Astyanax mexicanus: one gene and its partner. The main gene of each other region encodes a partner of the protein of the gene in region 2 in a complex. Links are inferred from orthologs where the notes say so. Each region holds a gene or a part of one and is shown on either strand. Other genes may lie near its edges.

The links. The genes of interacting proteins can lie anywhere in the genome.
Region 1: the proteins of myo5aa (region 2) and spire2 are in contact, whole or in part, in a crystal structure (PDB 5JCY), measured with the Homo sapiens proteins. The link is inferred for Astyanax mexicanus from reciprocal best matches to the Homo sapiens genes MYO5A and SPIRE2. Residues at the interface, in NP_001369276.1 of Homo sapiens: Asp1551, Val1554, Arg1555, Thr1559, Ile1562, Asn1563, Lys1566, Ser1597, Gly1598, Leu1615, Thr1616, Asn1617, Phe1618, Asp1619, Leu1620, Ala1621, Glu1622, Tyr1623, Val1626, Asp1629, Leu1630, Gln1633; in NP_115827.1 of Homo sapiens: Arg404, Pro405, Arg406, Val407, Leu408, Leu409, Lys410, Ala411, Pro412, Thr413, Leu414, Met417, Glu418, Met420.

Annotation. Positions count from the first base shown.
Region 1 is NC_064417.1:11,048,343-11,056,249, reverse strand, and holds the start of spire2 (protein spire homolog 2), read right to left. Parts: upstream 3,448-7,907; 5' UTR 3,240-3,447; intron 1-3,239. UniProt on the Homo sapiens protein: Acts as an actin nucleation factor, remains associated with the slow-growing pointed end of the new filament.
Region 2 is NC_064416.1:41,740,744-41,748,992, reverse strand, and holds the start of myo5aa (unconventional myosin-Va), read right to left. Parts: upstream 3,449-8,249; 5' UTR 3,224-3,448; coding exon 3,182-3,223; intron 998-3,181; exon of another isoform or gene 555-997; coding exon of another isoform or gene 332-554; intron 1-331. Other genes in the region: uncharacterized protein LOC111196951, read left to right, coding at 332-554; arpp19a (cAMP-regulated phosphoprotein 19a), read right to left, coding at 7,956-8,129. UniProt on the Homo sapiens protein: Processive actin-based motor that can move in large steps approximating the 36-nm pseudo-repeat of the actin filament. Can hydrolyze ATP in the presence of actin, which is essential for its function as a motor protein. Involved in melanosome transport.

The DNA.
Region 1 (7,907 bases), on a different chromosome or scaffold from region 2:
AACCACAGCTGTCCTCACACGTCCATCTGCTCCAGGTATGACACTCTTCACTGTCCCTACTTGCCAGAGGGCTCTTGGTGCCTTCTGATCAACAATAAGAACTACAGTGCCGACAGTAATGGCATCTTTCTCTGTCTGCCATTTCTGCCGAGCTTGTAAGGTGGGCAGAAAGTGGTGAATGTAGTGCTTCCAGAAGTGATCCGCTAACACCTGTGAATGACGCCACCTTTTCCGACTTAACAGTTCACACTCAGGATAGACCACTTGTGGAAGTGTGGAGTCTGGCCGCCCCATCAACAAGCAGTTGGGCGTGACTGGGTCTGGGATCAGAGGAAACATAGCCCATTGGCCTAGAGTTGATTATGCCTTCTACTTCGATGAGGACAGTCATTAACACCTCCTCTGGCACAATCTGAGCTCCTAGAGTGGTGCGGAGGGCGTTCTTAACAGATCTCACTTCTCGCTCCCATGATCCACCAAAATGTGGAGCATTGGGGGGATTAAAACGAAAGCGAATCTGTTGAGAAGCAAGGTGGTTCGTAACTGCAGGTTCCATGGCATGGAAGGCTTCATGGAGCTCTTTGCTTCCTCCTTTAAAATTAGTGCCTTGATCAGAAAGGATCTAATGGGGCTTTCCTCTGCGAGCTATGAAGCGTCTGAGTGACATCAGAAACGAGTCTGTGTCCATGTTCGGTAGCAGGTCGAGATGGATAGCTCGAGTTGTAAGGCACTTGTACAGGATACCCCACCTTTTTTCAGTGCGTCGTCCCACCTTTATGAGCATAGGGCCAAAGCAGTCGACTCCTGTTGAATAGAAGGCGGGTTGGAAAAGTCGCAAACTGGAGGGGGGTAAGTCTGCCATTCGTGGAACTTGGGGGCTGCCTCTCCATTTCCTGCATTCCACACAGTTACGCTGGTGTTTCTTGACTGCCTCTCTGCCTCTCAATAGCCAATACTTCCTGCGCAGCTCTGCAAAAACACGCTCCGCTCCAGGGTGGTGTAGCTGGTGGTCATAATGCTGAATCAGGAGTTTGGAAACCGTGTGAGAGGAGGAAAGGAGAATGGGATGCAGAACATCTGGACTTAGGCTGTCACATCTACGGAGCCTACCACCAACACGAATTAAGCCTAAGTGGATTCACAAATCTGTGAAAGTTTGCTCTTAGGTCATGTGGCAACTTGGCTAAAAGGCGAGAGACATGTGAACCACACCGCAGTTCTGTCCATCCTTGACTTCCAAGTTGTTGCAGCATTCCCACTAAAGCACGAACCTGAAGGGCAAATGACTTGAAAGCTTTAACATCCCCAGCACGGATATTTGGTCCGTCCATCAGATTTGAAATCCTCTTCAGTGCCAACTGCTGTGGTTGACCATACATCTCAGTGAGTGCCCTTATAGTGTCTGTGAATGGGCCTGGACTGTTAGTGTAGGAGTCAGCTATAAGTAGTGCCTCTTCACACTTAAGATGGTCTGTGAGTATTTGAAACTTAAAGTGCTCTAGAGCATCATAAGGGAGTAAATTGTCCAGGGCTAGTTTCAATCTGACAAACTCACGGGGGTCCTCGGACTTAAAATCAGGGATAGTTGGCTTGGGACCACGATAGACATCTAGAGCTGGGTGTTTGTCATAGTGAGAAGCACAACGTGAAGAATAGTACTGCTGGTCAGGTGAGTATCTGTCTCTATATCTCTCTCTGTCATATCCATGATGAGATGCATCACAATCATCAGGGTAACCTCTGTAATCAGGAGAGCATCCCCTCTCAGGCCCATAGTAACGGCTTTCACGGTGAGCTCTTAGGCTACTTGATCGGTAGGGCTTAGAGGGACTACAATCATCACTGTAGTATGGATGACTTGACTTAGGTAGAGGGATACTGTAAGTGCGGTGATATCTGTCGTCATGATGATAGGGCTTGTCGTAGCTGTCGTATTCACCCTCATACTCCGAATGATACTTGGCACCTGGAATGGATGCTGCTTTGGGACGTGGCCGTTGGCTATCACTTGACTTATCACAAGTTCTTCTGTGTGGCTTAAAGTCCTTGTGACGTGATGGTTCCTTCTCTGGACAATCCTCAACGTCTAAATCCAGAAGCTTGGAGCAGGGAGATGAACTTCGAGAGGTCACAGGAGAATTGTCATCTTTAGTGATCAATCCTGCTTTCTGCAAGCTGCACTCGAGGTCCTCAATAGAGTCACAGCAGCAACCTTGTAGAGATGGAGGAACATCACTGTGCACCAGTGGGGCACTTACTAGCTGACGTGGGTCTTTATGACCACTAGATGGCGTCGGCCTACTTGTAGGTGCTGGTATAGTTGATGTATTGTCCTCTCCATGCTTATGCAGCGACCGAGGTTGTGAGGCCTGCCCAGGAGATTGCTGGATCATGTCTGTAAGACGCTGGACATCTCTGCATAGTTGGCAATTTTCTTCTTTCATGCTGCGGAGAAATCTAAACACTTCAGATGAAGATCTTTGCTCATCATCCAGTACATGACACCTTGGGGTGTAGCTGACTTCATAATCCTGTAGATAGGATGGAATGTGTCTCGATCTCTGTGGCCTGTTTCTGTTTCTGACATCTCTCTCTTGTGACCTGGACATATTGACTGTAGTGGTTGCTTGAATCCGGCTCAAAGGACCAAAATTGTAACGTGGACTATATCTGGTTTGTATTAAGAGTTGCAATCACTTCAGGGATCGGGTCAGGATATCAATTATAATGTTCAGGTGAGGTGAGATGAAAGAACATTCAGATCCAGCTCCAGAATACAACTTGACTTTAATAATGCATGAGCATTATCCTGGCTGTACATGTGTGTATGTGTGTGGTTTATCTATAAAAAGAAATATAAGAAAAGCTTGAAATAGTAGAGAATACACTTAATGAAGAGCTTACACAATGCTTAACGTAGCAATTCACAGATATAAAATGTACAACATAAATACATAGAAACTAAACACTAATACTTCCAGTATTTTACTCAACAAAGTATACCTAACTAATAAGAAGGCATTTTAGTAAGAAATATTAGCCACAGACTATATTTTATGTCACGTACAGGCCTACAGGCCTCGATTAGCTAATGCTAATTGACTAGTAGTTCAATCTTCCAAATAACTCAAATAAGCATAATACTTGACAAAGAATCATGGTACTTGACAACCTTAATAATAATATAGCTTTAGATCTTAGATTAAACAAAGAAAACAGGCAAAAACAATCTTACTCACTTTCAATGGACGCACACAGTAAGAGGCACACGGTGAGACTGATTAAATGAAAGGCTGTGTCATACTAATACCTCTCTGAACCACATTGTGTAGGATTGTACACTAGTGCAACAGGGTCCACCTACTGGCGAAAATAAGAACTACATGTAAAACACTAAACACTAAACTACAGACCTACTGAACTAGAGTGATGCAACCTGGTCAAATAACAATCTTTTGTACAATTACCTAAATTGCCAAGACGCTGAAGTTTTTTTATTTACCAGCGTCTTATTGGGATTGTCTTTCCACTTTAAATGCTCACAGCAGTTACACGCGGCCGCCTGTAGATGGCGGGCTGTGCCGCATGTAAACGCTGTGCAAACACTGAATAAAAAGGAAAAACAGAAATATGCTCCAAGTTTAATTTAAACTGGGATAGAATGTTGATAAAATAAGGAAATTAAAGAAAACACTATTTAAACGTTTTGAATAAAAGGAAAAACAGAAAGACTACAATAAAATGTAAGAAATTTGTTCGAATTTATTTTGTGTTTACAGTTAAAACAGATGCCCATGTGATTGCTGTAACATTCTCTGGTCAGGACATAGAAATGTTACAACAGTGATAGAGTGTAGAAAACGAGAATAGAATAAAGATCAGGAGTAAGATGGTAATACTAATGTAAGCATGAACACAGACTGACAGTAAAAGTGGAAAACTGGTAGCTACTGCATCACTGTGGTAGAGTTTATTTTTGACATTCGTGAGAGATTCAGAATTCCGGACTTCCTCCCCCTTAATCAAAATGTAGATTCATCAATATAATTGTGGTTTCTTGCTTTAATGAGGGAACACAACAAACTACAACCACAGTTTTTACTGAAGATTGTTTGCATTACATCATATTTAACCAAAATACAGCCGCAACGAGAGCGCTCTCACCCCGTTCCTCCTTCCAACAGCGTGCTGCTCTCTTGGAGACCGTAGCACAATTACAGACGCAAAAAGCAAAAAACGAACAAATCTATTAAACTGTCCCAAATGTAATTCCATGATGGCAAAACAACAATACTCTCTACAAATATATATTTCTTACATATTACAAGCCGTAAACAAAATAAATAGTCAATTTATTTCTATTTTACACAACTTTATTAGTCAAATAAATTATCAATGAATGTAATAGTCTCAAATCAACTTTTTCTTGTATATATATATATATATATATATATATATATATATATATATATATATATATATATATATATATATATCATCCTTAAATATAACAAAGCTTACTTTTTTAATGAGTCAGTTAATTTATTTTATAATAAATGTTCCTTACATGTTACAAGGCTTACTTTTTTAATTAGTCGGTTTATTTATTTTATAATGAATTAAACGTCAAAAAATGCATTGAACTCAATTATCGTTAGAAGTAATAATTTCAAATCAATTTTGTCATGTAAAGATATATATTCCTTACATGTTACACTGATTATTATTTTAAGTAGTCGGTTCATTTATTTTATATTAAATTAATTATCAAATAAATGCTCAAACCATCGTTAGAAGTATTCAATTCAAACCAACTTTATGTTAAATATTTTCTTCTAACGATGATTGAGTTTAATGCAATTATTTGACTAATAAAGTTGAAATAGAAATAAATTGACTATTTTTTACGGCTTGTAATATGTAAGAAATATATATTTGTAGAGAGTATGTCAAACATAAAACTAACTTTACCACAGTAACTGAGTCTACTATGGAAAACTAGCTGCAAATAAAGCATGCAATTTTTTTTAAACAATCTTTATTTATTTGTGTTTTTTTTAACTTATTGTTAAAAAAATAACACTTGCTACAGAGAAAAATAAAGGAAAATCTATAAATAAATACATAAACACAAAAATATACAAGTAACAAAAAATTTACCTAGATAAATCAATGTGCGCATACACTGCTTAGTGCTTAGTTGAGCTCAAAGCCTCAACATGACTAAAAAAGGACTGCCATATTGATGTAAATCTATCTGTTGACCCCTTAAGTGTGTACCTAATCGTCTCCAAATTGATAAAGTATAGCATATAATTTGCTTTGGTCCAGTTAAATATTCTAAACTGCATAACTTTGTGTCTCATAGACAACAGATTCTATATCTATAATACATAGCAAAATTGACTTATTAACAGGAATACTAAAAACTCAGATGCTTCTACCAACATGGTAGGTTGTTTATAAGTTACTAAAAGTTTGAAAAATATTTATTTTATTTAAAAAAGACCTCAGTATAAATAAGCTGGAGTGTGGGTGCAGAACTGGAAACAGTATTACTTCCTGAGACTGCCATGGCCTTCTGTTCCAGCAGCTCAACAATGCTGGTGTTTGCTGCTAAATTAAATCTACTAAAAGGTGGCAATATTCTATCACTGTATTAGGTTGGCATGCAGTATTGAACTAAAGCGTTAGTTTAGTGTGAAATAAAACATTCAGTTTCCTCTACTTCTGTCAGCCAAGACGTGTTTAGGGTATGTTTTGCATTGAAGCTCAAAGGCTAATTTAACTAACTAAAGTAATAAAAGTTCATTGTAAGGAGTTTTTTGTTGATCAATAATGGCGAAAGTATAGGGGGTTGTGGTCCTTCACAGGTCAAAGATTCAAAGATCAATACCAACCTCTATAAAACAATACTAATACATGCATAATTATCAGCATCAAGTTTGTCAGTGTATGATCACATCACCCTGCTACCTGATCAAATAGTTACCCAGTCTCCAGACTCCAGTTTAAACAATAATCTCCTCTTGTAAAATATTACAACTTAACTCTTTTATGGACACCTTTTATGGAAACTCATGTGTTTTATTGAGTGCCTCTTTCTGCATACCCGTACAAAAGTGCACCTATGCAGCACCTACACAAATGTTACTTCAATGTCTCAGTCTGGCCTTTTCACCTTTAGTTTCAAAGACTCAGAACAGAATTAATTAATCATTGAGGGTAACCCTTATTTTCAATGCAGCCGAGCATTTACAACCTAAAGGGACTGAAAAATAAATTAAAATTAAAACCAAGTATGTAATCAGGGGAAATAAGGGACTTTATAAACAAAACAATAAAAAAAATAAACTGTAAGAGCATTTGAAAAACAAAAAAAAAAAACAATGTAAGCTTGAATTAAGCTTAAATAAAACAATTAATTACGAAGAAAAAATAATTCAAAACAGAAGCATAAATGGAAATGTTAAAATGTAAAGCAATACAATCCAAAATAAATAATCAAAACAATAAAATATAAACACAAATAAAGAAATAGAGGACTAAAAAATGAAGTAGCTAAAAAAAACATCAAGATTATAAAGAAAGTAAGTGATGAAAATAAAACAACAGGTAAAACAGAGGATAGAATAAATGAAATAAAAAGGTAAAAGGCCAAAAGTAAAGCAGGTAATAAAATGAACAAAAGGATGAAATGAATAACATAAATAAAACAAATGAAGAGGCTAAAAGGTAAACAAAAATGATCAATAAAACAAATAGAATAACAAAAACAAACAAAATAAATAAATAATAAAAGAAAAACTTAACTAAAACAGGTACAGCCTGTCTGAAGGTGGTTAGAAACTAAAAGAGTTTAAGAGTTTCCTGTAATGAATTCCAGCTCACACAATGTTCTGTAGCTAAAAGCAGATTTTCCAGTTCAGTAAAAACTTTAGGAACCTGACAGGTGATCCAGTCACTAGAGGTGGTCTGCTAATTACTGTTATAAATAGAAAACATATAAGATATAAGCTATTAAATGGCATATGGCCTGAGAGCCAGTTATAAATGAATATAAGCCAGTTTCCCGTCGAGGAGGACCAGCCTACTTTTGGTAAAGTGGTGAGAGCGGGTCACCAGTAATAAACCTTAGAACAGAATGACAGACTGAATCTTGTGGGGTTTTTTTCTGTCAAACATAGGCAGACAAGATTTATTACGATAAAGAAATCCCAGTCTCTGTCTGCACTTAATAACTAAATTATTAATGTGAGTTTTAAATGAGAGTTTTTCATCCAGCCAGATGCCTAGATACTTACACTGTATCACAAAAGTGAGTACACCCTCTGCAGATATTTAAGTATGTCTCTTTATGGAACCACACTGACAAAATGAAACTTTAACACAATGAAAAGTAGTGTGTGTGCAGCTTATATAACAGTGTAAATGTATTATATCCTCAAAGTAACTCAATATACTGCCATTAATGTCAACAAAGGTGAATAACCCCCTTAATAAAAGTTCCTGAAGTGTCAGTTTTTTGTATGGCCACCATCATATTCCAGAACTGCCTTAACTCTCTTGAAGTTTACCATAGCTTCACAGGTTGCCACTGGAATGCTTTTACACTCCTCCATGACGACATCAGGGAGCTGGCGGTTATTCCAGACTTTGCACACCTCCACCTTCTGCTTGAGGATTCCCCAAAGATGTTCTATTGGTTTTAGGTCTGGAGACACGCTTGGCCGGTCCATCTCCTTTACCCTCAGCCTCTTCAATAAAGCAGTGGTCGGTTTAGAGGTATGTTTGGGGTCATTATCATGTTGGAACCCAGTTTCTGGAAGGAGGTGATCATGCTCTGCTTCAGTATTGCACAGTACATATTGGAGTTCATGTGTCCCTCAATAAAATGTAACTCCACA
Region 2 (8,249 bases):
AGATGCTTACCTGTTATACTTACCATAGATGCTTACCTGTTATACTTACCTGTTATACTTACCTTAGATGCTTACCTGTTATACTTACCATAGATGCTTACCTGTTATACTTACCTGTTAAACTTACCATAGATGCTTACCTGTTATACTTACCATAGATGCTTACCTGTTATACTTACCTGTTATACTTACCTTAGATGCTTACCTGTTATACTTACCTGTTATAAATTTGCACACTTTTTGTGTTTTTTACCATTTGCTCTCTTCCCTCTGTTTTCCTTTGATCTCCTGGCCCCTTTCCCATTCTTACTTTTCACCCTCTTTTTCTCAGGTACAACGTGGATGGTACCATGGACTACAAAACTGTCCATGCAGATGACTGGACACCTTACCTCTCACCCACTCTTAGGAAGAGGAACAGTGACACCACAGTGCTACCACTGTACACATCCAGCCTGAGAATCAAGGCGCTGAAATACAAGCACCTCCAAGAACTTAAGAATTTCATTCCCAAGGACTTTCATGGATTTTATGATTCACTTAACTATGAGTGATATGCATCACCAGTCTGCAGGTTCACTGTTTAATGTGGAGTTGGCTCACGTGTGTACATAAAAAAAAAAAAGCCACAGACCATTTTCTTGAGTCTGACTGTGAGTCTCAAAACATGATTTATGTGTTTTCCTAATGATTTCCCACAAGTAATTCAGATTTGTATCCAATATCTACATGGAATTTAGTTATTTATCAAAAAGAGATATAACATTTTATTAGTAGTTGATACAGGTTATTCTATTGAAATGTTTGTTGGTTCGTATGTTTTTTCTTGTACATATCTGAAATTTATATGAGGTTTTTATTAAATGATTGACGTTTCCTCGTACAGTAAATAATAACTTGATTTATAAATTACATTGTCTGTAACTTTTAAATTTGTATTAGTTGAAAGGTATCTAAGTGACATAGTAAAACATTTCTTAATAAATCTATAAATATCTGTCATGTTGTGTTCTTGATGCAGAATAGATTAAAATATAACAAATATTTTACAATGCAGTATTTCTGAATTATATTTCTGAATTATTCAGATTTTAGTGTTAAGAATTGTTCAGTAGGAATTTCCTAGCTAGTTATCTGGCTAAACTGATTTGTGAAAGATGTATGCATTGGTTGATTCCAAAAGGTGGGAGCAGAGGACACCAGGAGCATGCATCCTGCCTCTTTAAAAGGCAGTAAGGTATTGTGCAAAACAATATGTAAACAGTCCAGGTCTTGCTAATATAATCAACTGTTTAAATATGCTGTGTTGGGGAAAACCCGTTTTGTAGAAAAATATTTTCGTAGTTTTTTTTAATGTAATGTTTGGTCTCTTTTGGGGTATGAGGATCAGCTGATCGCGCATTTCCGCGCGTCAGATATTAAACCAGCATGGAAACAATAAGTCACACTAAGGATTCAGTGTGATTTTTAGTCAATAACAGTAATACTAGACTCTGCTCCCGTTAAAACATGATTTATACCGGTAGAGTGTAAGGAGAGCGTTCAAACTGCGCAGCTTGGTGGACGTGACTCTTTGGAATTCACTGTAACGCCCGCGTATGGAACACCCGCGTATGTCCTTTTTGCCGTGTACAAAGCACGTAAGTCCATTTAACATATAAAACTATAGAACTTAAGAAATCAAAATAATATATATGAATTTTAGAACTAAATTATATGTAAACAGCGTTATCTGTTGTTTATTTTACCCAATATTATTTAATTAAAAACGTTTTTTGCTTTTCCTGAAAAGTCCGGTTTTTGGAGATACGTGCTTTTCATCGGACAGCGACGATATTAATCTACAACGTAGAAAACCATAAAAAAAAGAAAACACATTGAATGAGAAGAGATGTGTCCAAAATTATGACTGGTACTGGATGTGCATGTGTATATACAGCTCTGGAAAAAAATAAGAGTCCACTTCTGTTTCTGAATCAGTTTCTCTGATTTTGCTTTTTATAGGTATATGTTTTAGTAAAATAAACATTGTTGTTTTATTCTATAAACTACTATTTCCCCCAAATTCCAAATAAAAATGAAAATAGAAATAGAAATGAAATAGAAATGGCTGAAATAACAAAAAAGATGCAGAGCTAAAGTTGTAAGAGTTCAGAAATCAATATTTGGTGGAATAACCCTGGTTTTTAATCACAGTTTTTTTTTTTCATGCATCTTGGCATCATGTTCTCCTCCACCAGTCTCACACACTGCTTTTTGCACAATTCAAGCAGTTCAGTTTGGTTTGATGGCTTGTGATAAATCATCTTCCTCTTGATTATATTCTAGAGGTTTTCAATTTGGTAAAATCAAAGAAACTCATCGTTTTTAGGTGCTCTCTTATTTTTTCCAGAGCTGTATATTTTTATCTCTAGGCAGGGCTGGGCTGCAAGACGTTTCAAAACAAGGGGGTGACGTCACGACGCCGAAGTGACGTTGCTGGCCGATGATGCTAGCAGCAGCATCAGCATCCGCGGTACCCAGCATCCCCCTCCTTCCCTGCAGTCCCTCCAGCCAGCATCCATCCAGCACCAAACACACACACACACACACACACACACACACACACACACACACAAAACCATCACTCACAGCCGAGGCCTTCCAGAAATGCATTCTCAGCTCGGATCTGTTGTTGTAGCTTCGTGAAAATACAATAAAAGTATCCATCAACAGAGGCTTAAGGGGTTTAAGTAATATACGTCGTTAAATATATCATTAATTTAATTATTTTACACATTTAATCCATATTAATAAGCAGAGATCGTATCCACAACACCCTATAAAACCTACGCACTTCATTCAGCCTCATATAACCTATATGAAGGACAAATCACAGCCTGACCAAACCAAACACTTCACCCAGCCCATTAGAAACCCACCCTACAGCATCTCAAAGCGTCAGCAGCCACAGAAAGACCCCCAGTCTCTCTGACATTGCATCATTTCATCGTTATCAGGTAGAAAAATTAGGCTCGAGCACAGGGCTGCTACACCACACCACAGATCCGTTCATTCATTCCTTAGGATCACTGGGTTTTCCTCTTAAACCCACTGAAGACAGTCTCAGATCTCAGCCCCCCAGTATAAACCCCCCAGAGCCCCCTCCCTCTCTCCCTCTCTCCACACTCAGTGCTGTTACCTTTGTGTAGAGCTCGGACGCGGCCATGGTGGTTGTTGCCATTAAAGCGTCAGTGTGTGTGTTTAGCTCAGTCTCGGTAGGTTAAAGGAGCATCCAGGCCTCTGATCGAGCTCCTCTCTCCAGCCTGACGCTTCTCCCCGAGCCTCCAGTCAGTCCAGCGCCGGGCTCGCTGATCTACAGCTCGGGTCGCTCATCGCTCCTCTGCCGCGGCTCTGTGTGAGTGAGTGTGTGTTAAGGCTGGAGAAAATGATTTGTGTGCACCGAGGTGCCCATGAGGAGGAGCAGCAGCAGGAGGAGGAGGAGGGGGGGTAAAATGAGCTGAGGCTGCCCCCTGGTGCTCACCCCATCATCTTGTGTTATTTACAAAATCAGAGCATTTGATATAGTAAAGAAAAAAAATAATTCTAAATGCTGTTGTATTTTCCAGTTTTCTAAAAAAAATAATAATAATAATTTCTGCTCATCACAATCTGAATTTTAGGAACGAAAAATTATAATTTTCCTGTGATATAATCCAACCTGTGCTGGTTACAAGGTTAAAAAATGAAAAAAAAAAAAAAAAAAAAAAAATATATATATATATATATATATATATATATATATATATATATATATATATATATATATATATATATATATATATATATAATAAAATAACATAAATACAACATTTCCTTCCATTTATTAGAAATTTTATTTCATTTGAATTTTAAGAATTTTACACACTCCTACACCCCACCAGCCGTAAGCTATTATTCACTATATTTGCACTAATGTTTATACAGGTTCTGTTTATACTGGTACTGTCATTCCCTCTTAATCACCCTCTATAACTATTGCAATATCGCTTTTGTCTCACGTATGTCTATTTGTGTCCTTGTTGTATTGTAAATATAGTGTCTCCCATATATTTATATTTTATATTTAGAATCTTATTTTCTGTACTTGCTGTATTTTTTTTGAAGGAGAGTAACGTAATTTCAGTTCTTTGTAGGCTATGTTCTGTACATATGCAGTATTGACAATAAAAACTACTTGACTTGATTTGACTTGACTTAAGAAACAACCAACAACAAAAAAAAATGTAAACGTTTGTCTGTTTCTATTTTGTGAACAACTGTAACCTACCAAGGCTCTGTATAACATTTTTGTATAAAAACTAAGCTGTGTCCCAGGTGTGTACTGCATCCTAACACTCTAGAGTATATGCTAACCTAAAAGATTTTCCATGCACTGCAGGCATCAGAAAAATACAAATTGTACAGTTTGGTTGAGGAAAATGTTAACAGCACATTGTGACCTGTGAGCAATAAATCCTGATGTATCAAACATGATAGATAAAAGTCCTACATGCAGAATGTTATTTCATTTCTTTTTATTTTATTATTGTTCAGAAGCTCCAGCTCATCTCAAATCACCATCTCAGTTGTTTAGGTTTAGATCAGGGAATTGTGAAGGACAATTTTTTTTTTTACTACGTATTTCCATATGTCCCTTAATTGTTTATTTTTTGTCTTTAATATGAATCTACAATGTAGAAATCAAATGAAATGTGCTCTGTATGTAGGTGCTCTTTCTGTGCAGGCTGGAGAGAATGATTTGCAATGAGGTGCCCATGAGGAAGATCAGCAGGGGGCTAAAATGAGCTAAACCTGCTCTTAGCTTCATAAAATGTTTATTTTTGTATGTTAGATAGGCACCATATTATAGAGCAAAAACAGGGACAGAGATTTAGTTCATTTGTAAAGAAAGAATGGAAACAGAAAATTCAGGTTTTAAGCTTGAACTTTGAAACATACAACAATATGTTCAAAATAAAATTAAGTGTAGATATAATTTATTTAAATTCAGGAATTGTTTTTTGTTTCTTGTGTATTTTGATATTTGAGATCGGATTTGCATACTGTCTGAGCCCGTGAGCTTTTAGTATGAGATTTAAGTGTCTTTTATTTAGAATAATGCCATGTCTCACTGCATGAGACTCTAAAATATCACCATAATTAATTCCAATTTAAGATTATTCTTGGATTAAAGGAGCTTTGATGTAATATGCAGTCTTCTTCCTCTGCATTAATTTACAGAAAAGCCAGCTTTATTATTCTCTGGCTACGACTTAATTATCTTGTTTCCATGCCTTAGGATCTTATTCTAACGCCTAAATAAGTAATGGCCACACATTATTATTTTTTCACATGATGTCACCTTAGGTTCTTTGTAGAAGTCAGGTAAATTTGTGATCATTTTTTTCCATTGGGTGATTTAATAAATAATCTAGGATCCAGAGCCACTGGAAAATATATATATAAAAAGAGTGCAGCAGCTCAGTCCACAATCTCAAAAGCTTCAAAGCACCACTGTAAATGTACATCAATTAAAACTCTGTGAACACTATTTGATAGATGTCTACTGTCTAAAACTTGTTTAAACTCCCCTAATCCCCCCCCCCCCCCTTCACACTCTTAAAATTCCTTTAAAATTATGTTGTTATGTAGTCCAGTTGTTTTTGTTCCACCTTAAACAGTAGAGCAGTAAAGGTGCCAATGATAGAAAGCGGTAAAATACTCATTTATTTTCCTTCTATTCCACCTCAAGTGCACCAACTGCGTCATAATTAGTGTTTTTTTTCTTGATTATAACACAGTGGATCAACACCAGCAGGTCTCATGACTCCAAACCATCACTGATTGGTGGAAACTTCACACTAGACCTCGAGCAGTTTGGACTGTGTGTCTCTCCACTCTTCCTCCAGACTCTGATCCCCTGATTTACAAATGAAATGTAAAATTTACTGATGATCAGTGATGGTTTGGAGAAACATGTCATCTGCTGGTGTTGATCCACTGTGTTTTATTATCAAGTCTAAAGTCAGTGCAGTTATGCTTTCGCACAATATCTTACAGCACTTCGTGCTTCCCTCTGCTACTGACAACTTTTATGGAGATGGCGGATTTCATTTTCCAGCAGGACTTGGCACACTGCCAAAAGTACCAATTGGTTTTTTGAGACACTGACTTTTGGGTTTTCATTAGCTGTAAGCCATAATCAACAAAAAAATAAACACTTAAAATAGATTACAGTTAAATAAACTGAATTACTGAAACAAAATAATTATATATGAAAAAGGACAAAGTGAGAATGCACAGGTTTGCAAAACTATTTTATTTACAAATCAAATGGCACAAAAGTGACTGCGGTCGATGCCCATGTGCACCCTGGCCCAGGTGGTTTAGTGTGTAGTGCTTCATGAAATTGACAAAGAGGACCTCGGTGAGAAATGTATTTTTTCTACAACTGGTCTGGCCCCAGTTGTGGCCTTGTTCCAAATTAGGTCGGGTCATGCTGTGAAGCTCGTTTTCATGAGTGTTAGGGGTGGGCGTTATGATGGTGCATCGTTACTCTCGCAATTAGTTACGTCACAGTACACTTTACTGAGTGTAGTATTAGAAGAACTGCATGGAGTCGAATAGAATTCAGACCAACTATACAGAGCCTGTAAACAAAATCCGGTCTATAGTAACTGCATAGTGATAGGAAGTTCAATGGTCAGCTCATTATGCCATTACTGTATTCATTCATGTTGACCAATTATTTCTTTCTTTGCCTATTGTTTTCACTTATATTGTATATTTCTGTAAACACGTGCTAGAAATCATGATTTATCTCCTTTTTAAAAACTGCTGTGCTGCTGGTATGTTTGGTCTGTCCCTTGTTCACAAGCCTCTGTAAAACTGTAAAATTATGATATTTCACTGTTTCCATACCGCCCATCCTTACCACTTAATTTTGGTTTGGCCTTCAGGTTAGCGATGACAACTCTACACCAGAATTGTGATTGGTTTAGGCCATTTTTAACAGAAATGGTGGTGACAAAGGTGGCGAGTCCACAGCAGCCTTACATAAACAGTGCCAGATGACTTTCAAATGGACGTTCAACAGCAGTATGGTCCATTTTGGGTCCTTAAAGCTGAAATGTTCACAAACAGAAAAACGAAAACTCATGATGCAGATTCAGAACAGCTTATGAGAGGTTGTATTCAATTAATCAATCAATCATTCAAGCACATTGCTCCAGTCATTTGTAAGCTTTGGGAATGGTGCAATAAAAACAAAACTTCACTAAAATGCTGTTTTTTTTTCTCCTCTCAACACAAGCAAATATGTACACTTTCATCTACATCACCTACTGCACATATAAATCTTTATAAAGACATTTGTATCCCCCCTACCACCCCCACACACAAGCCATTGACTGCAATACCACGGCGCCCTGTCCGGTACGACTACCTGCATACGTCTATCTTCAGTGTATTTTGTAGATGGAGGTAAAAGTGAATATGAATCTGTATTAACAGAAAATGAAGTGAGAGGGTGAGGGACTCTCAAAACTGATGTGATAATAAATACACTATTTGTATCATCACTGGATTAACATACTTTAAAACAGACGAGATCAAGCTAATATATGTACATTTGTATTACAAATGTGAACACACTGCCTGCGTTGAATATAATAAAACACACAGATGGTGTTAAAAGCATCATCCTATCCTGTGTTTGGGCTGGTACAGTAACAGCCCAATGAGATCTAGTACAAGTGTGTTCAGACTCCAAAGGCTACAGATGCAGCAAAGACAGAAACGCCAGTGTATTCATTTTACACATCTGTTTTGAGAGAGTGTGGAGTGTTAAACATGGCAGACAATGAGTAAAATAAAGAAAGAGAGAGAGCAGCATGTTGCATTGCGGAGAGCCAGACGCTGGTGGACAGGGCAGGTCAGCCAGCCAGTTTGCTGGCCACCAGAGAGGGTTTCCTCTGGGGCAGGTCCTGAGGCGTTGGGATGTGGTCCCCCGTTATTTCCGCCTTCTCTGTCTGCGCCGCCGGCAGCTGCTTGTTCTTGATCTTGGCCTTCGCCATGTTGTAGTCGCCAGAGTCGAAGTACTTTTGCTGCTAAAAGAGTAAAAAAAAATAAAAAAAAGCCTGTCATTAAATCTGTTTTACACAGTGACGAAACTATGGAAAAAGGTCCTTTACCAACTCATAATTATGAGATAGCAAGTCATAATTATA